3 linked regions of the Oryzias latipes genome follow. The protein of the gene in region 1 purifies or fractionates together with the protein of each later gene. This does not show direct contact. Links are inferred from orthologs where the notes say so. Each region holds a gene or a part of one and is shown in the gene's direction. Other genes may lie near its edges.

Evidence for each region. The genes of interacting proteins can lie anywhere in the genome.
Region 2: the proteins of ezh1 (region 1) and jarid2 purify together in Homo sapiens (affinity purification with mass spectrometry; 4 studies listed by BioGRID and IntAct, with this or other methods). This does not show direct contact. The link is inferred for Oryzias latipes from reciprocal best matches to the Homo sapiens genes EZH1 and JARID2.
Region 3: the proteins of ezh1 (region 1) and phf19 purify together in Homo sapiens (affinity purification with mass spectrometry; 4 studies listed by BioGRID and IntAct, counting the BioPlex papers as one, with this or other methods). This does not show direct contact. The link is inferred for Oryzias latipes from reciprocal best matches to the Homo sapiens genes EZH1 and PHF19.

Annotation. Positions count from the first base shown.
Region 1 is NC_019866.2:6,663,322-6,671,622, forward strand, and holds the start of ezh1 (histone-lysine N-methyltransferase EZH1), read left to right. Parts: upstream 1-4,054; 5' UTR 4,055-4,389; intron 4,390-5,175; 5' UTR 5,176-5,191; coding exon 5,192-5,359; coding exon of another isoform or gene 5,360-5,365; intron 5,366-5,472; coding exon 5,473-5,598; intron 5,599-5,682; coding exon 5,683-5,805; intron 5,806-6,808; coding exon 6,809-6,926; intron 6,927-7,020; coding exon 7,021-7,251; intron 7,252-7,602; coding exon 7,603-7,705; intron 7,706-7,941; coding exon 7,942-8,105; intron 8,106-8,225; coding exon 8,226-8,301. Other genes in the region: ramp2 (receptor activity-modifying protein 2), read right to left, coding at 783-1,077.
Region 2 is NC_019869.2:23,829,821-23,838,125, reverse strand, and holds the start of jarid2 (protein Jumonji), read left to right. Parts: upstream 1-3,415; 5' UTR 3,416-3,946; coding exon 3,947-3,991; intron 3,992-8,305.
Region 3 is NC_019867.2:31,488,973-31,496,919, forward strand, and holds the start of phf19 (PHD finger protein 19), read left to right. Parts: upstream 1-3,057; 5' UTR 3,058-3,272; intron 3,273-3,659; 5' UTR 3,660-3,660; coding exon 3,661-3,840; intron 3,841-3,928; coding exon 3,929-4,010; intron 4,011-6,618; coding exon 6,619-6,732; intron 6,733-7,080; coding exon 7,081-7,172; intron 7,173-7,258; coding exon 7,259-7,407; intron 7,408-7,482; coding exon 7,483-7,578; intron 7,579-7,650; coding exon 7,651-7,840; intron 7,841-7,947.

The DNA of each region.
Region 1 (8,301 bases):
CTAAATAAAAGGAGCACACCCAAGCTGGGGCTGGACGCACATCTGAAAACCCTTTACTCTTTAACTCTTGTTCTGCTTTTTAGTCTCAGTTTCTCACAGTCGAAGGCCTGGCCAGCGCACAGCATGTGATTTATTTGCCTTTTGGGCTGCCTCTGCCAAATAGGAAACATAAGTAAACATTTAGGGCTTAGCGTTTTGGGTGGATGTAATCATGACTGCAGGGTGTGCTGTGCAGGCAGCCCACGATTTCATATTTAGGTTAATTTCACCAAGCAAGCTGTTAGTCAGGAGTGGCCAGCTGTTTAAAAAGCCAACCTCTTTTACACACGCATGCTTACAAAGAAAGAGTTTGTGTCTCCCCAATATGTGGGAACGCTTGCTTAAAGTCACTGGGAACTTATAGGGGGGTGGTACATCTGTCGGGGAAAGCAGTTTCTAGCTGTCATCACTTTAAAAAAGCGGCACATGAGAATCTGTTTCATTAAGTCGCCGGAAATAAATCCTTTGCTTCGTGTTTTCTCACTACCAGCTTGTAAATTTGGTCGCGGGACCTACTTGTCGGGGCTCACAACATCTGTTTGCTGAGCTGCATTATGATTTAGTAATGACATCAGGAAATGTGTCTTTTCGTGGGAGGGGCTGCGAGATGGGGGGAGTTGGCAGGAGAAGGGTGGGGGGGACAGTCAGAGAAAGAGGAAGGCACAGGATGAGGACCAGGGAAAGGGGCCCGCTGCAAAGTTTCAGTTGTTTCACAACTTGGAGTTCATGCACAGACCACAGACCTTGCGTGGGGTAAATGACGAACAAATTCGGGACGTTGAGCCAGGTGGGGGGCTGTTTATAAGAAAGGTTTTGGTTAACCTCTAACCCCCAGCCATTGTGGGCCTCCTGTCGACTGCTGTTGACCCCCTGTTTCGTAAAGACCTCCTCCAGAGTTTGTCTTGGCTTCTCATGATAAAAACAAAGAGATGTCTTGGCAGAAAACACCATCTGTAGACTCCGTGTACAGGTTGGTCTGTTCCAGGCCAAACAAATGTTTGGGAAAAAAGGGATCCAAAGCAATTCCTCCGTGGACATATTTATATAATCGTTGGCGGACTAAATTCTAATTAAATTTTATTCATTCATTTAAACTGTTTATTAAAGATTTTGACAGAATTTTACTTAGATCATTATTTTTATAGGTACCAGTACATGAAGCACTCAGTTTCAGGTGCTAAAAAAGTTTGACACTCTCTGATTTGCACAATTTCTGTTCAAGAATATTAAAGAAAAAGGAAATTATTGCTTCTGCTGTCTTGGAATAAAAAACCTCACTTGCTGTTACGTTGGGTTGCAGCCCTGCATCGTCGTTAGGCAGACAAAGCACAGTTCTGTGTCCTTCAGAAAAAAACAATGAGAATATGAGCAATTATAAGAAAATATTCTACAGAGTCATCTAACAACACTCAAAGTGAACTAAACTCTCAATAATAGTTTAGTTTGAGGGGTTAACACATGGTGTAAAACTAGAAAAGGTTAAGGAAGTCCAAAAATTCACTGCATCCTTTCTTTGTCTCCAAGCACACAAAGAAAAAACACCTAAGACAAACATTTCTAAAAAACCTTTTTCCACCTCAACAAAAATATTAACAGTTGTAATGACATTTTTAGTGTCTGTAATTCCATCAGGAATCATAAAAAGGTGTCTTCTTTTTTCATATTTAATTTGCATCAAAGTGAACCCCTCAAAAAACAACATTTTCTTCTACCTTTTGTACAAATATTCAATTAAAAAAAGGGTTTCAAGCGCTCATCTATAGAGAAAAGTTTAAGAATTAAGGAAAAGGCAAGACATGGGTCAGAGAAATCATCTACTTACCACACATGAGAAGTATTATGAAACACCCAGAAAGCACAGGAGAGAATCTGGTGAGTGTCATTTTGTCTGACAACGCTGTGTTCATCTTCCCTGGTGAGTAAGGGTAATGTATCTCAACCTTTCTGCAGGAAGGCTCTATAAAACAACAGGAAGCCCTCATTTCCTAGTATGGGCGGATTCACCAAATGGTGAAAAGGAGTCTGATAGTGTTGGAGCTGCTGTAGCCCATTGTACACCACCATCAGTTTCTCTTTACAAATGTTTCATTCTTTTTTGTTTTAAAAGAACTAAAAAGCATCTTCTGAGAAACTTGAGATTTTAAGATTTTTTTTTTAACATTAATGTCCCAAAAAACATCCAAACAAAAGAACTGAATGTACAGAAGGATTTAGGGTCTAAATTTTTTTACCTTAAAGACAGAAATCCTCAATGTATGTGTGTTGTGCACAGAATGTACTATTTCCTTTCACGCCATGGAACATCATCTGGAATGGTGACAAGCACCCCTTTTCTTCCCACCCTGGATGTTTTGACGTCAGGTTGAGGTCTTGTGGTACACAGAGGTGGCAGGGACACCCTGTTTGAAACTGAAGAGCCTGCTTACGTCATTGAAGGATGAGTCTTCTGTCTCAGCTGCTGCGCTTGGAAAATATCCAGACAGCAGAAGCCAAAATTGTTTCCACATTTCACTTCACTGAGTGTAGGAAATTTCATTTTTTTTCTGCAACAAGTTCTTGAAATCCTTGCAAAGTTCAGATCCATGCATTTGTCTACAAAGAACATGTGTTTTAAATGTGCTCCTTAGAAAGGTAAAAAAAGAAAATCTGACTTACTTTCTTGGCTTGTATTTCATTTGCTTTAAAAGGTAACTTTAATTTATTTTTTAAATTGCTTTAGTTGTAGTTTTTATCAGCTGCTTTAGAAACCTTTTCCTCACCAAGTTTTTGCTCCAGATACTAGAAATGTCTTGTTCCAAATCTGAAGAAACCAGTTGCAATAGAAAGTTCAAAAATCAACAACATCACAAGTTTTAAAAACTGATAATGTCTTCACTTCCTAAATTCAGTTTGTTGTCTTTTGACAGTTCATTATCAGCATGTTGCTAGCAACGGCCTACACTGCTTCTAAATTGCCAAGCGTGCTTTGTTGACTGAAATATGACCACTTTCACAAACCAAAAGCATAAATAATACCCCAAGCGGGTGTGGTGTAACAGTTCAGAGCAGAGAAAAGAAACACAATGTGTTATGTGATGTTAAAAATTGTTGTCTTAATGCATGAGGAGTTAGAAAAGTAAAATTATTCCATGACTGGCAGCAGAAGAGTGCCATCTTGTGTCTCATAGAAGTATTGTCTCAAAATTCGGACGTTTATGAACTTTTATCTCCCAAAATGAAGAAAATAAAATAAATGCACAGAGATTATTTATAATTTATAAAAACCTCCACAGAAGTGATAAAATCCTGGAACAAGATATGATGATGTGTTTTTGGTTGAAATTCTGATTTTTAATGTATGTAAGGTTGAATAAACGATGTGCATTAGTTTGGCTTCAAACATTAAAACCTTTACATGCTATGACAGGAGTCTTTTGTTGAAAATCAAATCATAAACATTTACAAATGAAATAGATCCAAGCACTGCAACAAAACGTTAGACCTGTTATTATTTTTGACTGTTGGAAATGTGATTTAATTAAACTATACCACGCCATTTTACTCGTAGAGTATATAAGGTATTTGAGACAATTTTAGAAAAAGAAAAATAAACAGGTCATTAAATATAATAAGATTGGGCTCCCCCTGCCGGAGAAATGTAAAACAGCAGCTAAATATTTAGACAGGTCCAAAGGAATGTTAGAAAACTGGAGGCTGGTTACCAATTAAGTCTTACCTGAAACTCTCACTTACAGATATTTGTATTCTGAAATGAAAGAAAGACTATTTATATTTGGTTAAAACAGTTTTTGCATTTTTTTTTTTTTGTTTTTTGATCGATTGTTATTTCTATTATAGCCACACAGCCCTATAAATTACACTTTGACCTTTTTTAATTGCTTAATTGTAGATACTGAAATAGATGCTGTATTTCCATTTTAGTTTTTCTATTTTTCACCTTGGTCAAAGAAGAGGGGTCATTCATTCAGATGGTACTTCAAGCAGTTGCATCAGTTCCTGTGCGTGTGCGTAATGGCTGTGCCGTTGCTGCTCCACGCTACTTTTTATTCCTAGGGCGCAGAATAGACATAAATCCCAGCTCCGCTTGGAAGCGCTCTGGTCGCAGTAAAGACGTCACCCTCGTGCTCGGGTTGGTTCAACCAAAGTGCGCAGCTATTTGTACGCTCCAACAACAACCTCCAGCACCATGCGTTTGGATAACGTGCTGCTTTCACGGAGATCCTCTCGCCTTCTGGACTCGATATTTTCGTCTAATCCATAGCACAAACGATTTTTTTTCCTTCTTTTTTTTTTTCTTCCCAACGCCGGGATTTGATCGCGTTGCACCAAAATCGGACGTGGATTTTAAAGGTGTGTGACTGCGACACTGGACGTGGGGATCTGGACGCACACACGCGCGTGTGCAGGAAAACCTTCATTGTAGAGGAGTCAGTGCGCAAGTCTTAAAAGTGTTCTGGGTTTAAATGGACACGGTAGTGCGCCACGGTGCTGTGGCTGCACCCTCAGGACGAAGCCCCGCTGCGTATCTGTGGTGGAAACGTGTTTACGCGTGAAAATCAGACCCACGGCGACAATTTCTGAGCTCCATTTTCATATGCTATTCATCTGTCACTGTGTTCAGCTTGTATCTTTGGGGAAAATGTTTGCAGGCGGTTATGAAACACTAAAAAACAGCGCTACGCACTTTTCTGCTCCGCCGAGGCACGCCCACTCTTTAGAAATGTGGGCTAAAAAACCACGGACTTCGTGCTTGCACGCATGCCTGGACTGTTGGCTTTTTTCCGCGTGTTTCACTATTATTATTTTACCCCAAGTATGGCTATAATCATGGGGTAACCTTGAGATTTTAAAGCACCCTTCAAAAGGGCTTTTTACCAGTAGATGGCAATTTTGTTTTGCGAACAGAGGGGGGCGCTGTTTTGCAAAAACCTGCAGCAGTGGCTTATGGGAAAGTGCAAGTGTTCTGTTTTTTTTAAAACCGCCTTCAGGCTTTGAAGATGGAGGAATATTTATAAAAATGAGCTAAAATGGAAAAATACATAAAAATATTTTTTATAAGAAGCTGGTAACAGTTTGCTTTAACACATTCTTTATGGCAGAATTGTGAGTTGACCTTTGACTCATTTGTTTTGCCAGAGTTTGTCCTGCAGTCATGGAGGAAACAGCACATCCTGCCCCTGGTACCAGTGTTGCCCCATCTCAGCCAAGGCCTCCGCCCTGCACTTTTGCCCCGTCCCGCAGCCTGCTGGAGTGGAGGCGGAGGGTCAAGTCAGAGTATATGCGCCTGCGCCAATTAAAACGCCTTAAAAAAGCAGACGAGGTCAAGGTAGATTTAGAGTTGTGTCAGCATCTTCCATTTGAATACTAATAAAGTACTTTGTCCCTGTTTCTCATTCACTCAAACCTGTGTTTGGATTTCTACTGTTTTTATAGACCCTGTTCTCATCCAACCGGGAGAAGATTGAGCAGCAGACTACTGTCCTTAACTCAGAGTGGTCCACGCTTAAGATTCAGTCCATCCCGCTGTCTGTGTCTAATGTAGCACTGGCTAATAAGAAGGTGATGATGTTTAGAAACTGCCCATATATGAGGAATATTGCTCTAGGTTCTCCAAAATGACTGTTTTTCTGGGTTTTCTTTCAGATGTGTTCGGTGGAGTTTGGTTTCCCAGGATTCAAAGCTCAAGCCATCGCCATGAGGCCACTGTCAACAGTGGCAGGGATCCCATTCATGTACTCCTGGTCTCCCCTGCAGCACAATTTCATGGTATGTGAGTGGTGCAATAACTGGGGAGCAGTTTCAGTCATTTTAACTTACCTTGATAACAATGACTCTCTGATTGGGGTCAAATAAGGATCAGCTTAAACACCCACTCCAACAAAAATTGTCTTTTGGGTGCTTTTAACACGTTCATGTGGCATTTTTCTGAGGGCCACCGCTAGGGATTTTGTGCCCCATGAAAATCATTTTTTACAGGGCCTCTAACACAGTGGCAAATATTTTTTGATGCTGTTTCACATGCAATTATACATTATGAAGACATTTTTCACTATCATTGTCATCTTTGGGACAAAATAACATGACAACTGACATGTAAAGAATGGGAAGAACTGAGCAGTCTCAATACAATATTGAAAATTTAAGTTTCAAACTTGAATGAAAAGAAATATATAACTAAAAGCAACTGAAAAATAATATTTGTTTGTAACAGCTGCTTCATTAGAGGAGAGATGACACCGGCCGCGCCATCAACAGACGCTGTTTCGTAGTGGAAATTATGTTACCAGAATCTCTATCACCACATGTCAATCATGCTCCGGTAGCCAATGGGCTCAAAGCCCCACCCCCATGTCAAATAAGGCTTAATAAAAAGAATTGAGGACTGAAAGCAAAGACAGAGAGAAGCGAAAAAACAAAAGTTGAAAACACAAAACAGCATCTATTATAAACAAACATTTATCATTTGGTAACAGTTTTAGGTTCATAGTGTAGGTGCTTTTCTTTTATATTAAAAGTATAAATTTACTTTTTTTATTTTCAATATCTCCTTTAAGTTTTATATATATATATATATATAGAGAGAGAGAGAGAGAGGATTTACAATCCAATTTTTCATTAACTTTTAGCTGATCCAGATTTGATTGAAACTTTATTTTACCAGGAAATCCCTTGAGATAAAATTTCTTTTTTGAGAGAAACCTGTACAAGAGGCATTGGCACACACTCACACACAGCTCTGAGCCTTGCGTCCTTTTTTGTGTTTCTGAAGGTAGAGGATGAGACGTTCCTCCATAACATCCCTTACATGGGCGATGAGGTACTGGAACAGGACGAGGCTTTCCTGGAGGAGCTCATTGATAACTATGATGGTGTCCATGGTGACAGAGGTTTGTGTTCCGAAACTGCTGTTTTCGTAAAATCTTAAAACGCGAAAGAGGTTGTTGTCAGTTTTTAGGTCATGACATGCTGATTGTGTCCTAGAGGGTGGTTTTATCAGTGACGAGGTCTTTAAAGAGCTGGTGGACGCCCTCAGCCAGTATTCTGACCATGAAGAAGACGAGGAGGAGGAAGGAGCCGCAGCAGCAGCAACAGCCGTGGACGTTACAGAGAAGAAAGATGACGAGAGGATGATGAGAAGGAGCTTAGTGGAAGGCTCAGAGGAGACGAAGTCTGGAGCGTTCATCAGAAGGAAAAGAAGAAGCATGACTGAGGGTGAGTTCTGCGTTGTACGGTATGAACAAGCCTCACACTGTTCATTTTAGGACACGACAACCACCACAAGGTCACCCTGCCACAGCGGCTCCTGAGCTGGCATTGTTGATTTAAAGGTGCCCTTGTTTTCACATGTGGATGCTGTGTTTGACAGAGTCTAGTTGGCTTTTATTACAGGACTGAATGACCTGTTGTTTCAGGACGTATGGGAACTTGGATACAAACAGCTGCTAGTTCTCAAGTACAGGGATTAGGGATTTAGAGATAGAAAATCCTACACTGTGTAAAAGTCTGATGTTAGTTCGAGTTCAGTTGATTTGCTTAACAGTCTTCGCTCTGTGTCTCCAAAAGTGAGAGATTTGTCTGGCAGCAAGAGGATCCCCAGCGATAAAATATTTACAGCCATCGCCTCGATGTTCCCCTACAAAGGCACAACAGAGGAGCTGAAGGAAAAGTAAGAAAAGTGTTTTCAGTTTCAGGGATGTTCGTGCACGAGGCCGGTCAGTCTTTTGCTGAGTCTTCACCATGGAGACATGAGCTGGCAGGAGGGAAAGGAAGAATAATGGCTCAGTCTCAGGCTCTCCAGCTCAAAATAATAGTTGCATCAGCATATGAAAGAGCTTACAAACCTTAAAAGTGACACTGAAGAATTAGTAGGACCGCTAAAGTTTTCCTGTGCACTCTCCACAGGTACAAGGACCTATTGGAGCCCTCCAGTCAAGTGAAACTGCCCCCCCTGTGCACCCCTAACTTAGATGGACCTTTTGCAAAGTCTGTTCAGAGAGAGCAGTCCTTACACTCCTTCCACACTCTCTTCTGCAGACGGTGTTTCAAATACGACTGTTTCCTCCACCGTAATGACTTTTCTTGTCTTTTCTAGTTTTTCTGATAAACATGTTATGATTGGAGTAGCCACAATTTTTTTTGATGTAATAGTTTTCCAGTTTATAATTGTCCTGCCTCTCTTGGTGAAGCTTTTCGTGCTACGCCTAACGTTTACAAGAGGAAAAGTAAGGAGATCCGCATGGAGACAGAGCCCTGTGGGGAGGA
Region 2 (8,305 bases), on another chromosome or scaffold:
CGCGAAAGGAGAACCACGACATAGCGAGGGACCACTGCAAATCACAATGGTGTGTGTTATAAAATGCAAAGTGATCGGTTTACCTTATGACTGCTGCAAGGACACATTACGTAAATTAAAGGTGTCGTTCAAACAAGCAGATACGACGAGCACCACGGTTTGATTTTTGCAAGGGTGATTGCTAACATAAACTCTGGAGGGGAACAAAGAAGAGAGGTCTCGTACACTTAAGCGTTCTGGTCCTGGATTATTTGTTGAGAAACCAAAGCAAGAAAGTAAACTAGAGATAGTCAACGATATAATCGTGGTGTTGAGAGAAACTGAAAAAACAGTCCACGACAAGAGAGTGAAGAAGCAGAACTCACAAGCTTGTTACTGAACCTTAGTGCGGTTCAGTGGTGGTATGAATAACACAAATCAGAAACCAAAGGAGAACCAAGAAAATAATGCTGCTTTTTTACTACAATTGTCTCATAGGTAGAGTTTTGTTGAAATGGGTGGAGAATGCTAATAATTCTTACACCTTCAGTTGGTTTAGTTTACTTTCACAATAACTGCTCCATTGAGCAAACAAAATAACAAAATGGTCAATGGGTTGCAGAAAAAATCTTTAATTTTAAAATAAAACCAAGAAAAAAAAAAGCTTATCTAGCCCTCTATCTTGAATTAATAAACTCCCCCCCCCTACACCATGTGTTCCTACCAGATATGTTTGAATGTTTTTCATTATTTACACTTTTTCAAATTTCCACATGAGATCTCTTGTTGCTTGCTACTTCTAACGCACAAAAATCTTATCAACACGTGAGTTGAGAGTTCAAGCTGACCCAGGTTCATTTGTTTTAACTATGACAAAGGTTTTCCGGTTGCAAAATGAAGACTATTCGAAATGAAAGGAATCCTGGTGTGACTCAAATTTGCCAGTGTGAATGTGAATAAATGGGAATAAAGAAGGTACAGTGCATTGTGAATCTGTAAGTTAGATGTATAAAAAAGGTGAAAGCACTTGTAGAAGTCAGAGAACTCTTTTTTTTTAATTTTTTTCTATACCTTTTGGTCCCATAAAGGCTCCCAAGCAGACAAGCCACCAAACAGTTATTGTAATGATTGTGTCATTTGTTTTTTCTTCTAAGGATACAAAATATGAAATCAGACTAACCTAAATGATGCAAAAATTAAAGGCCCCTTTTAGGTAAATGTAAGAATTATTTTTTTAAATGTCATTCATATAGAGAAATAAAGTTTTCAAGATGAGAAGTTTCTGTAATTAATAAATTAACTATACCGTTTGAGATTGTTTGAATACAATGTTAGTGTGTCTGTGTGTGTGGGGGGGGGGATTCCTTTGCATGCAAATGTGGGCACTTCTTTTGTTTATTGCCCATTTAAATAGTTTATTTTTCCTGTTTGTTTCTCTCTTTCAACAACAGCTATCTAGAACTGCAGGCAAAGTGGCTGTAAATGCGTCACTGACATTTGTTATCATTATTTTTACCTTTCCCTCCACATTTTCAGATGTGAAAAAACAGAATTCATCAGATATGTTAACCTTCAGGAGAAGATTTGATTCTTCACAAGAAACCTTGGTGTATTTTTCAGATTTTTCTAAATCAGAACACAGACATGATCAGATAACGGTTATGAGATAATGCTGTTTAAATCATAATCATGCTATTTATTTGCTTAAATCTGATAATTAGAGAATTTAGATAATGATCTTTACTGTGCATGTTAATTGGCTTTTTAGAAAAAATGCAATACATTGTTTGAATCACTAATTTTAACATAATGAACCACAAAAAGTAGGAACATGTGTGTTGTAGATAATTTCTCTGTTCATAGTGCTTCTCGGGAACCATTTAGAAAACATTTTTAAACTTCTGTTTAAATGGTGCACATTTAAAAGGAGAAATTTGGCAAACTGTTCATGCACGTACTTATCTTGGCTGCTAATCCCACAACTGCATGTTCCTTACAATTGGGTTATCGTTTAGAAGAGAGACAAAGAGGCTTTTCAACAGTTTAACATTTAATTCCAAGCATTGCTGTAAAACATAACCCACCAAACACAATTGCTGGTACTTATGCATTAGCATTCCACCTCAAGAGGTTTTTCTACTTCTTATATTGCAGAGATTAAAAATAAAAACGGATTGAAATTGATTTGACCCGTTAGTATCCAGCGAATAGGGTTACCATTCCACCGCTACATTTGTTTGCCAGTTTCTGTTTTGACATTTTCAGTAAAATGTGAATTCGGAACTTCCTTACAATTTTGTGTCTGAATTCCTTCACTATTCAAGATCGAGTGGCCCAGAAACTTCCTAGAAGTATCTGTGAAAAACCAGTGTTCAAACGCAATGCATTGTGGTCTATATTTGCAATCCAGTGAGCATTAATCCACACTGGCAGAGACTTCTGGGAAGTTTGTAGGGCAATTGGTTTTGGAATTGTAGATTCGGACAGCACTACAAAATCTCGAACACAGTATATAGTGAGTATTGAAGAATTCGGACATAGCTCCATTTTTTTTTGGTGCTAAAAACGGCATTACCATAACAAAAGTCCACAGGCAGCGATCATGCAATAGACCAAAAGATGATCCGAGTGGAGCTTTAAGGTTCTGAAAGTCATGTAAATTTACGTAAGCTTGTATAGCACTTTTCTACCTTCCTCGATGGCCCAAAGCACTTTCCAGTCACAAACTCATTCACCCATTCACACACTGAACTCCATAGGCTCCAACCTTGCACCAGAGGCAAGGTAGGGTTCGGTGTCTTGCCCAAGGACACTACGACACATGGGCGGAAATTGTGTTTGGTGGGTTATGTTTTCCAGCAATGCTTGGAATTAAATGTTACACTGTTGAAAAGCCTCTTTGTCTCCCTTCTAAACGATAACCCAATTGTAAGGAACATGCAGTTGTGGGACACATGGGTGGGAATCAAACCTGCTATCCAAGGTCGACCACCCTACCACTGCACCATGGCCGCCCATGTAGCTACTGGTTGTTTGTATCCTTAAGCTTCCATTGGCTCTAGCCAGTCACAATTCAGAAGTAGTTCTCAGAATTGCTGGGGGCTGCATAATATTGATTTTGTGACAGAAGCCTGTGGGCCGGTGGCCGCACTTGGCCTATGGGTCGGACTTTGGACATGCTTGCTGTAGACAAAACACCCTTATGCAGAAATACCCACATTCCCTTACTTGCTGTGGTACATTTTTCAAACCAAAACACGAAATAGACTACATATAGAGATGGATTCTCCTTTTTCCATCCCATTTTTTAACAAACGCCCCACGGGGGAACGAAACAAGCGGCCAGCTCGCGAGGGCTGTCTCTCCGGGACTTTGAAGTTGCCGCTCCGCGCTCGTGCGCCTCCGTGATAGGCGGAGAGGCGGAGGCCGGGGAAGAAAGGAGCTGCTCTCAGTCAGCAGAGCAGTGCCGCTGGAGAGCTCTGTCGATGGTTGCGGGCTCCAGCCAGAAACACCGCGATTCCTAACGTTTTGTTTTTTTATTTTTCTCTTTTTATTTATTGCTTTCTCACGATGTCATACCGGGCAGGATGTGACTTGCTGACCTAACCTCGGCTATCTGCATGTTTTCGAGACGAGCGGGTGCGCAGAGTGGCCGAGCTGTTCGGGCGAATGGAAGTTATTGTTGTGCATTTGTTTTGACTATGTTACCCCCAAGTAAGTTTGGGTCCAGTCCGTCTCTGTCCGTCGTCGACTCTTGAATCGTGGGGATTTAGCTCCGACTTCTCCGAGGAGAGAACACCGCCGGAGGATTCCTGCAGCCTACGGCCAGCGAGCTTTTCCGACCGAGCCGGGGATTTAAATCGTCATTTGGCGGAGAGCTCCGGGAGAGGCGAGAGTCAAAAGAAAGAAGAAATTCATGTGGCCATTCTCTCTATAGCCAAACATTTTTTTTGGGTGGGATTGCATAATGAGCAAGGAAAGACCTAAGAGGAATATCATTCAAAAGAAATATGTAAGTAAACCCTCTTTTTTTCCTCCTAAATGCAGCTCCTGTATTCAAGTTCGCTCGGCTCGCCTCGATGAAAATGCACAAACTTTCATCGCGGGCTGTGAAGGTTACCGTCAGGCAGCTTTGTGGGGTTGTTTCCATTAAATGTGAGCTTTTGTCGGCGTGTCAGCGCGGATCTGGCCGTGAATTTAAAGGTGCAGCTCGTGTTTATTCTTCGATACCCCCCCACCCCCCCATGTTTTATGCTATCTGAACACGGGCTGCTTTTCGCTCGTTTCGACTCGGTTTTTTCACGCGCGACAGCGGGAGGCAACGCGTCTCCTGGGTCGTGTTTTGGGGGTCGTGGATGGAGAGCCGTGGTCAGACGGAGGGTCTCAGAAAACTGGGCTTTTGTTCGACCCCCTCGCTTCTTGCTACTCGAAGCAGCGCAGACGAGCCTGTCGGCCATAGCTCGGCTTCCATTTCGTCCCATGCTGAGCGTTTCATCTCGGCTTGTAACCGAGCTGCTGGAGGACTAGGTCGGCCAAATCAGAGGCGTTGTCGTATCTCTAAATGTGTATATAATTCACGTTTAGGGTGAAATAGGTGTCGTTTTTTGGTGGTGGTGGTGGGGGGGACTGACTGCATGCTGTGGCGGCTCTTTAATTTCCTCCATAAAGAGTGAGGCAGCGCAGAAGGGAAGGGGGGTTACGCGAATCCGCATTCTCACCCAATTTCTATCACGTTACACGACGAAGGTTACTTTCTTTTTGGGGTTTATATATGTTTTTAGCCTATTACCCTCTCGACCAGGTGACGGGCGACAGGCTGCCGGTATTTTAGCTGTGACCTCTGTGAAGGTGCCGCTCGGTGAGGGGGCAACTCCATTTTTTTCAGCACTAAGGCTAGCTTGCCAACCTTTTAGGTATCGACCTCAACGGCTGAATTCCTGCCGAACGGAACGCCGCTCGGTCGGCCTGTTTGAACGCGGTGCTCCTAAATGACCCAGTCTTCTCCCACTCCCCTCCTTTTTTTTTAAGAGTCTGTGTTCAGTCGCATTGCAGAGGCTTATGTATGTAGCGACCATTTTCTTTTTTGTCCGAGTATCGCTGAGTTTGATGGGAAGGGCTGCTCCATGCTCCTTTTTGGGGGTTCAAAAGTAGTTCGGCTAGTTTTAACCCGAGCCCACCGCATGACTCATACACGTATATATTATTATATATTTTTTGAAATTTCGGATCAGAGTCCGTGACTTTACACGAGAAGTTTATTGCACTTCTGATGTAATGATTGCTGACCCAAACGGACAACATGTATTGTTTAAAAAGCCCCATTAAGTCAGCAGAACTCAAAGACCCCCCCCCCCCCCCCCCCGCAGTGACCTCAACAAAACGACACGCGGAGTGGCTCATAAAGAAAATAGTTCCCCATGTGGGCGTTTAAAATCCACGAATAAAACCCCCCAAAACGAATTGAATTCTTATCCATAGATGCAAAAAAAAGATTTTTTTTCAGAGTATTTTAGTTTTATTGGTTCCTAATAGGAAGCTTGGTTGTATATTTTGTCTCAATTACCAGCAAGGACGACTCATGCAAATGCATCCTTATCTGCATTCCACTGATGATGATTTTACTTCTAACATGTTGGTGCCAGTTTACCTGCTTTTATTGATGGGAAACGGTCCATATCTGGGATTTTTGAAATGCCAGTGAAAGTAGCAGAGCAGTCATTTCTTTTAGTCATAGCACTGACTCAGCTGTGATCTTTTTCTGACCATGCAGTTTCATGTAGTGATGTTGCAACAAGAGGCCTCGCCTGCTCACATTTTTTCACCCAATCGGGCTGTTTTCTAGTAACTCTGGGCCGAGAAAGCAGGATGTTGTGGAAATAGTGACTCAATCAAATAAAAGTCCTGGTTTAGAATGGAGCCATGGACTTTCATGTTTTTTTTTTTTAGGAATAAACGTATAGCTTTTGGCGTCAAGTCCTAATTTGCCTAGTGTTGAGACTTAAAGTTGGCTAATTGTGCAGCTTAAGCACAGGAAACACATTTCAGTTCTGAATATATATGCATGTGTCACATCTGTCATGTGTTTTCAGCAGTTGCGGCTGATCCATTACGTCTGGTCCAGACCAAAATAAGCCTTTAAGAAAGTATTTTATTTTTATTTTTTACAACAACCCAGAGAAGTTCTGGTCCTCTTGTAAACCCTCCAGGCTTTGAGACATGACCCTTAGTGACCCCCTCCCCCTCCTTTACGGCCCCCTAATTAGCGTAAGACAATTAGACATGCTTGGCTCAACCATTTCCCCCCTGAAACATAAGTGTGAGTTGTTGCCCCCCATTCACCCCCACCTCCTGTACCCAACAAGCACGCATTGTTGACAACTGATATTAAAATTCATCAGTCATAAAATGATTTAAAATGGGGGTGGAGGAGACCCCTAATAAAAGCAAACGGGGCTTGGCCGTAATCGTTTTTCCACCAGGGTCACAAACGAGGATGTGAGCAGGTCTTGGGCGCCCCGGCGGTCCCTTTTGGAGGGTATCGGCTCACCTTTGTTTCTGCTCTTCGGCGGTTGAAGGGGGGTAAAGATTGTGTAATGACTATTAAGCTCTAATGCGTGGCTGTGTTGTTGTGTCTAACGAAACATGACACACACTTTTGAGTGTGTGAGCAGAGGGCGAGTGCAGCGCTGCGCGGGCAGGGCCATTTTGTGCAGAGTCGGCTCTTCCTGTAGGCCCCAGCTGGGGCCAGGCCTCCGACTCAAAGGGTGTGTGTGTATGTGTGTGGGTGTGTGTGTGGGACGAACCAGCTGCTGCAGAGACCTTTACAAATGTAAAGAGGCTGTCAGTGTTTGTTTCATCAGACTCACAACTGATGAGGGCCAAGTTGAAAATCCACTGCACTGCGAGTGTGTGTGCTGGGCCTGCACAAAAAGAAGAAACAAAAATAGAGAGAATGGGGAGTGCATAGGCAAAGACCCCCCCTCCCACCCCTTCTCTGTATTTTCCTCTCTATCTAACCCCCTCCTTCTCTTTGCATCTCTCCATCTCGCTCCTTTCGTTCTTGGCTGTCCGAATGAAATGTGGGGCTGGTGGAAGGACGTGAGGGGGGTCACAAGGTTGTTGTTTTTTTTCACCACGCTTTAGCTGCAGTCCGCTTCATTTCACCTTCTGTTTTAATGCAAATTCTTTTATCATGATCTCCCTGGTCCTCGTGTGTGCAACATGGAAGAGCTCAAACCCGAAGCGCGGTGCGGTGAAGAGCGACGTTTTTTTTTTTTTTTTTTTTTTTACTGCTCCTTGATTGGATTCCACGTAGCAAATATGAACAACACTTAAAAAAAAGTCTTATCCACGCCTGCTGTTCTGTGCCTCCTCCTGTGGATCTTTTATGGTCTATTTGGTAACCACACTGATTAAAATGGGCTGTCAACAAAAATAGAGAGAGAAACTATAAGTTTGTGGAAAAGACACCCTATAGGTGTAGTATACAGATCATCTTCATCCGTCTTTGCAAATTTGCGACACTTTTTGGTGTGTACTGTGAAGTGGAAGAACTGGCCTTCTCAGGTTTTACATCCCTTCTCACTCAGCTGGGCTTTACCACAGCAAAAACTTTGGTTTGTGTTTTTAAAGAAACTTCTCAGCTGCTCTCTATCCAGAGTGGACAAAGATATTCAACATCCTGGTGAAACTATTTCTTTTTTTCTTTGCTCTGCCTCTTTTTTTCCCCCCGTATCCGTTTTTCATACATTGTGTCACCCACAGCAAACATGAGTCTTATGCAATATACCCTTTCCACTTATCAGCTGTTGGCATTGAGCACAATCTCCCTGCCATGCGTGCACACACACACACACACATCCGTGGACAAAAGCTTTGCGTGTTCACCTGTAGTCAGGTGAGCCAGACTGGTTTGCATTGGTTGGTATCACCTAGATATCAGCAGCTTAGGTCATTTGCAGGAGTAATGACGTAAATCTGGGTGTGACTCTCTGGCATATGTGGTATTTGCTTTGACTTTATGAGCTCTGTGTGAAAGTCTGTGTAGGTGTGCGCCTTTTTTTTTTTTTTGGTGTTGTTTTTTAATCTTTTTATTTTAACGGTCTGTGCTCCAATAGTTAACACGGGGGCGGGTTTGGACTGGGTTCAGTTGGGGCGGGTGTTCGTGTCACGTACACCACTTGTGCTTGCTCGGCTCGGTTCAAGTGATTTATCTCTTCTTTCTCCTGCTGGTTTGGATGGAGATGGGCAGAGGGAGACAGCTGGTCAGGCCCTGAGAGGCTGTGTGCTTGTGTTTGTGCGTCTGTGCACACACGCTCACTCATGG
Region 3 (7,947 bases), on another chromosome or scaffold:
GCCAGCGCTCGAAAAAATTCAAAAGTCATTGCTTGCATTTAAATGCTAGCTTCTTTGCTTCAGAGCACACGCACATGAAGAACTGCAATCACCCTACCAATGGAGGGATGCCCAGCCCTGTACTGCAATGGCTCCGCCTTAAAAAAAAAAAACAGGTTCGGACACCACTAAAGCTCCAAACGCCGCTTTAATTGGAGCAGTAGGGAGGAGCCAGAGGATTAGGAAATTAATTTGGATTCATTTAAGGCCCTATATAATGCTTTTCTTAAGCCTATATAAATATATATTATAATACATAACCTTTGACACACTAAAGAATCATTGTTTGCTGAAATTAGTTATATTCGCAGCTCATTTTCTTACCCGAAAGTAATATGACTCGATCACTGAGGCTCCGCCTTTCTCTCCTTGTGGGTGCCGCCCATTTCATGATGTCACCCTCAGCAGCGTGTCTGCACTTCTCCCACTAAAACAAACATCCAAACTTTTGCAAACATGGATGTGTGTATCGTTCATATGAATTGAAAACGTTTAGCCGATCACCACTAGCTCCATGGAGAAAATGTGTGTGTGTATTATCCTGGGGGCGGAGCTGCCAGCTCTCCCTGAAAGGGACGATTCCCCAATTTGTGATGTCACAATGTAAAGACCCCCTCATAGATTGGGAGGGGCTGGTGCCAAGAGAGCAGGGTTTTAGAGGAAAACTTCGATGCATGAGTGGATCAAAATACCACTTTGGAGTTTCTTCTCATTAGGAATTTACCTTATTGTACACTTAATGGTTAAAAACATTGATTTTGCGTTACTATAGGTCCTTTAACGTTTATAGAAAACATCTCATGGGGTCATTGATGTGTTGTTCACCATTAGACTAAGAATGACCAAACATTTTTACAATAACACAAATCCACCAGGGGGGTATTCCAGGAAGCATGTTTAAACTAGCCTGACTTTAACCCTGAACTCTGGCTGAAATCCGCCTGAACTTGCTTACTCTGGGTATCTCGGTTCCAAAAGACCGGATATGAGTTGGCATAATTACACTCGACTTGGTAACCCTGGGTTAATGCAGGTGCGCCGCATGTACATAAAGACATTCTCAATGGATCGCCGATTTCCGGAGTCACCATGGAAACGCGTGGTGAAAAAAAAGAGAGCGCTATACTTCAGTGAGACGGAGTCTGAGATTTTAATGACGGCGTAGGAAGAATATACGTCCATCAAAAAAGTAACACGGCTGCATCATCAGCAAAAGAAAAAGTTTCTGCTTGTTGTAGTAGAAGAACAGACAAAGTAAACGGACGAGTTTCTGATCTTATTTCCATTTTCATGTGACGCATATATATATATATTAGTAATTAATATTGCGATAACGATATAATTTGCGGTATATAAACAATTAGCAAAACAACCAAAAATATGATTCCCATTCCATTACAACAGCTTAAAAATTATACTAGAAATGACCCTTGTTGACATAGGAGGCGAACATACAACATAATAGGGCGCCATCCGATTAGTTAACGTGAAGGGGTCCATCTGATTGGTCAAATGCAGAAAGGGATTCTTTCGATCCATTAAACACTTCAAGCTGCCATAAGATTGTTTGGCCACATCTAAGGTAACCATTTATTGCAAATTTGCTGTCTTTTGCGATATGCATATTGCACAGCTAGAAATTGCGATAACGATAAATTTGCGGTATATTGTGCAGGCCTACTTCTATTGGTAACAAGTAATTGAGTTAAATTTATTCAACCTAATTTCTTACGTCTATAAAACTCAATAGTTGTTAATACAACTCAAATTTACATATTTATTTAACTAAATGTCATATTACTCTAATTAAAGTAATTTTTTTTTCCTTCGTAATGAATTAAAATTCTTGAACTCTCATATGTCTAAATTTGAGCCGGCAGATCTTCATTTTTATAACAATAAAAAGAACAAAACAGTATAACCTGCAAGCTTTCATTCATTTAGAAATTTTCCAACATTATTAATATACCAGCTGACTGTAGGGGAGCTATATAAACTCATCATCCTCTCCCTCCCTCTCCCTCATGGTGCAGAGACCTGTGCAAAGTAGGTCAAAATAACTCGGCAAAACAGGGTAAAACACAGTAAAACAGCAAAACAACTAAACACATTTGGTCAAAAACCCACACTTAAACCCAAATCCGTCCAGACAGGCAAAGGGAATGGTATCCCACAATCCCTTGCAGTGCCGATCTAACAGCAGCACCAAAGTTACACCTACTTCATTGAATTAATTTGAATGAAAGTAAAATAACTGTCTGAAAACTACGTGTTATTTTTAAACTGACTTAACAAATAAAACGATTTTTAATTATCTTAACTGAAGCAAATAATTAAGTTAGATCAAAGTAAAAAAGTTTCTCTTTCCAACATCCATATGTGGTCTTATCACCCTCTCATGGTGGAAAAAGTATTATCTGAGCTTCTTCATCCACTAAATCATCTTCAAATGGACACGCCATGCTGCTTCACCTCTCTGAAAACAAACTAACCTTCAACTAAACCTGCTCCAGACCAGGTTATGTTCAGAGCATGAGTTGCCATGGCAACTTGACATACCCTGAAACATACCTCCATTTCTGGAACCGAAAGCTGAGGTTATCCACTTCCTTAGCCTCAAACTTACCGTGGGAGCTAGCAGAACCTGCTCTCTGGAATACCCCCCTGTTCTTTTTCTGCAATAACAAACATTTTGATCAAACTCGTTCCAGCATCATGTATGCGCAGGCGCGACAGAGAGAGGGGGGGCTCTTAAGGTATAAACCTGGACAGTATGACTGCTGCCAATTAAATATTGGCGGATCTGCTTCTTTGAGTTCTTGAAATTATACATCTATTCCTTAAATAAAACTTGTGCTCGCGCAGCCTCTTCCTAGACTCACAACGGCGCTCACCTCGATATTAAAATCAGTGAAACGTTGAAAGGGGCTCCGGCTGCAGCCGCGCAGCAGCGTCATGACGTCATCACGCACACGACGCTGGTAGAAAAAAAACCCATCCTCTGATTCGCGGGAAAATGAAAAAAATGGCGCCGGCGAGAGTTTGAAGCTCGGAGCCGCCAAACGGAGGCAGAGGGAGAGGAGAGGCACAGAAAACGAGGGACGGCGGGACACTGCTGCCGCGCCAGAGGTTCGGTATCCCCGTTCGTCCGTCCGTCGGGCTGTTACCGGGCCGAATCGGGCTCCGAGCTCCAAAGGACTGAGAAGGGCGTGATTGGATCCGCCAGAGAAGAGGTGAGAAGATGCCCTGCGTCCTTCAGCAGGTCTGGCCCGCCCGGCTCAGCCTGCAGGGGAACTGTCTGGCGTCAGCGTGCATTTATATATGCAGAACCGGTGCTGGTACCAAAACGTTTTAAACATTTAGTGATGCATGACCCGCCAGCATGCTTCGGGAGTTTTCCGTTAGTGTGAGCTGTCACGGATGTCAGGGTGCGGTAGTTTATGCGGTTGTAGGTCAGGTAAGGAAATTAGATGGGAGGATGCAGTGCGCATGCTCTGTGGTGTCAAAACCGCACAAACAGTTCAGGAATGAATCACAGCCACTAACGGCCTGTCTCTCTCTCTCTCTCTGTTCTAAACCAGCGTCTCTCTCCCTCTGTCTCTCCATCCATCTCTTTGCAGGATGTTTGAGGACTTGATCGAAGCTTTCTGCGGTCTGGAGCCTCAGGTGTCTCCTGGGGGCGAGGGGAGCCATAGTGGGACATTGGCAGAGGTGGAGGGGGCAGAGTCCAGTCTGAGTGTGGGGCAGTTTGTGCTTTGCCATTGGTCAGACGGACTGTACTACCTAGGAAAGATACAGAGGGTAAGGTTTGGCTGCAGACTCACCTGTCCGTGAACGCGGGGACTCTTCTGTTCTTATTGGCTGCTTTAAGCTTTTTACCTTCTGACAGGTGAGCCCCCCCAGACAGAGCTGCTTCGTCACATTTGAGGACAACTCCAAGTTCTGGGTCCTCTTGAAGGACATCCAGCATGGTGAGTCAGGCGGGCTCACCAAATGCTTGAAGCAGCCTCTAGATGCTCTCTGTGTGACTGAAGGATGTTTTCATTAGCGCCGCCACATTTAGAGATCATTTTCTGATTTATTTCTAAAGCGTTTGCAGTGGTCTTTTAATGCTGATGCTGCTGCTGTTTTTAGCCAAAATCGACGTTTTCTAAGACATAGTTTCTGCAGAGCGGCAGGAAATCATTAAAACTACCGGTACACGTCTTAACTGTGACTGTTGGTGCAGAGCAGCCCCGCCCCCCTTCCCCTCCCTCCCTGTTGCTGTCCAACAGGGAGGGCTGCATTTTTTTCTTCTTCTGGTTCACAGTGATGTGAAAGGAAAAATAAAATTCAAAAGTGCAATTTTGGGCTCAATTTTCTTTATAAATGTCATCCATCATCAGATAAAAATGCTCCAAGAAAATCTTAAAGGAGCCAAAAATACAGTTTTTCAACTGAGTGAGTCTTTAGTACGGTGGCCCTGAAGGGCAGATCACCTCACTCCACACAAAAAATGTCAAAATCACAACAATAACCATAGCAAAACAAATATTAAAAAACAGCATTACATTTGAGAAAATAAAACTAAATTTCAGAAACGTAAAAAATAAAAAACCTTTTAGAAAAACCAAAGTCATTTCCAGAAACGAGATAAAATGTTAGACAAATGAAACACATTAAGCTTAAGCGTAGGAACTCTGGGACGTCACTGATTGATTTATTTTTTCAAACGTGCCTTCAATGGCCCCACGCTTTTATGATTAGTATGGAGCATATCCAGAATCGCTCTATGCTAAATAACTTTGGGTTGAACAGACAGACAAATCCAATCAGCGATATCCCATAGTACATACCTTATCCAGTTTCTCCCTCGCCGCGTTTCCGTTAGGGCTGTGACGATAACCGCATCACCACGGTAATGAGATTATCACCGTGATCATCTCATCACCTTGTTGTTTTTTTTTTTGAAAGCTCTGCATATGGTGCGGGATTTGAACTATAATAAACACATTCATCTTTGCTGATAATTTGTTTTTTCTGTGAGTCCTGTGTTCAAACTTCAAGAGCTTCTGGGGGAATTTCTATTGTATTCATTTCCATTACAAGCTGCGTGCGTTCTTGAGTAGTGTGCGTCACGACCGCCTGCCAGAGGATTGTGTGTGTGTGTGTGTGTGTGTGTGTGTAGGGGAGGGGAAGCAAGAGTCCCGACACCGCGACTCCTGCTGCTTCATCACGGCGGTGATCAAAATCCCTCACTGTCACAGCTGTACTCCAGAGCAGGTTAATAAAGAATCAGTCACCGTTCTTCTGGGGGAAACCTTTCATTACTGTTCTCCTTCACTCCTAACACCAAGCATGAACGCGCGCACACCCCCAACACGCTTGTGCACTCTCACTCACTCTTTTGCTGCTCCGCTCCTTCCTCTTACACACGCAGCGCGCTGACACACACACACACACTCATTCTACAACACCTGTATACCTTAATTTCTGGACTATAGAGCGCACCTGGTTATAAGCACCATTACATTTTTAAAGGATAGAACATTTTGTACATACATAAGCCACACCTGTCTATAAGCCGCATGTGGCCACATTGAAACATGTGTTGTAGAATGAGGATGTTTGTGTGCTGAAACCACACGCGTGTGTAAGAAAGAGGGGGGAGCGCGTGCAGCAGAAGTGTGTTGGGGGTGTGCGTTCATGTTTGATATACAGAGTGAAGGAAAACTGTAATAACAGAAGATTCCCCTCCAGAAGAATGGTGAATGATTCTTTATTAACCCGCTCTGGAGGCTCTGAAGGTCCGAACAGGGAAGTGAACCCCGAAGGAAGATCCGCCTTCAGCGGAGAGGATCTCCCTGCATTTTCAGACCACCGTCAGAAAGAAAAAAAGTAATGCTGGAAAGTTTCAGCACGTGATATATTTCCAAAGAAAGATGGTACACAGGAAGAGTTTTCAAACTTTTAATAACATACTTGAGCTTTGCTTCCAAACAGTGACTGTAACACTGCAGTAACACGGCAGTAACAGCACTAACAGGGCTGGTTAAACAAACATACCAGTAAAAGTCATTTTGAATGCTTCCTTTTGTTTTTGTTTTTTATTTGTGTTTTGGTTTCTGAAATTATGTTTAGATTTTCAAAATGTAACACAGTTAAAATTATTATTATTTTCTTTTTAATTGTGGTTGCGATCTTTAAAATGTGTTTGCGTGGATTGGATGACGCGATTCGTCGACTTCAGGGCCACCGTACTTTAGTTCAGATGGAACTAGCTTTCAGTCCTGACATCAACTGTTGAAGCATTCCTGAACGCTCACTTAACTGTCTGTTGCTGGAGCAGCCATCAGTTTGAATATTTCTGTAATCGATACACACTGTTTAAGCTTTCAAATGAATCTCTGCTCCAGCAGGGTGTGAGGACGTCAGTCGTTTTCAGGTGTCCTAGAAGATGGTTGCCAAGGAAACATCAAGTTCCTCGTGGAGCTTCTCTTTCCGTTTTTAATCAGTCACAGACAGGAGAAGATCCTTCATGCTGACATGTGTGATGCCCTGAGTTGTTATGTCACGTGCTTCTGCCTGATCACGTTTCAGCTGGAGTGCCAGGGGAGGAGCCTCGCTGCTCTGTGTGTCGCAGGGCGGAGCCAGACTCTGACGGCCAGCCTAAGGTCAACAACCAAATCCTGATTTGTGGGAAGTGCGGCATCGGTGAGCATGGCGTTGTCTGAGTTCACACCTTCACATCTGTAGAAGGGGGCGACGTGTTCGGTGGGCGCTCTCGCCAAATCCTAAAGTTAGTGTAGGTCTCTGCGCCAGCCCACAACATCAGTGCGAGTCTGTGCAGGTGAACACACCTGAAGGAGGCGATGCTCTGGTTTACCTGCTTCACATCATTCATGCTGACATGGGAGTCAGTGGGAAATTGCTTGCTTTAATAGACCTGGTAGTCATTTGAGAAACGTCTTGTGTTGGCTTCACTTTGGGGAGTAGTATCACATGATCCCATGTTGATCCAGTTAACCTGGTCATAAAATCGCCTGTCTCTGTGTTTGCCAGGCTTCCACCAGCTGTGTCACATTCCTCCAGTAGAGGGCAGCAGCCTGAGCCCTTGGTTCTGCAGACGTTGCGTCTTTGCTCTGGCTGTTCGGGTAACGCCTCTTCCCAGTGCTGCATCAGCATGTTCCCACAATCCCCCTCTCCGTTGTCCCTGACCCGTTCCCTGTCGTCCTCGCAGAAAGGGGGCGCTCTGAAGAAGGGGCCGATAGCCAAAGCTCTGTGTGCCATGAAGCAGGTCCTGTCCTACAAGCTGGATTCCTTGGACTGGGACTCTCAGCATCGGACCAATCAGCAGCAGTGTTACTGTTACTGCGGAGGCCCTGGAGAGTAAGGCCGACCGCCCGAGAGACCGGCGTGTTGTGAGTGCCAGGTGTTGTCTGACTGACGTGTGTGCGTGTGCAGGTGGTACCTGAAGATGCTGCAGTGTTTCAGGTGTCAGCAGTGGTTCCACGAGGCCTGTACTCAGTGTCTTCAGGAGTCCATGATGTTTGGAGACAGGTGATCCTTCCTGCCCCCCCCCCCTGCTCCGTCCTCCTCTGTGTTCATGCTAAGGGTCTGCTGTCCTTCCAGGTTCTACCTCTTCCTGTGTGCGGTGTGTAACAAGGGCTGCGAGTACATCCGCCGTTTGCCCCTCAGGTGGGTGGATGTGGTTCACCTGGTTCTCTACAACCTGTCAGTCAGCAGCAAGAAGAAGTACTTTGAGCTTGATGAGATTCTGGCCTTCGTATCGACCAACTGGGACCACTTGCAGCTCGGAAAGGTAAACAGCAGAGGAACCGAAGAGACGCTGAGCTGAACCAGAATCTGATTCTGATTCTGATTCTGATGTGATCCTGCTTTGAGTTGTGGTGTTGGTTGTCAGCTCTC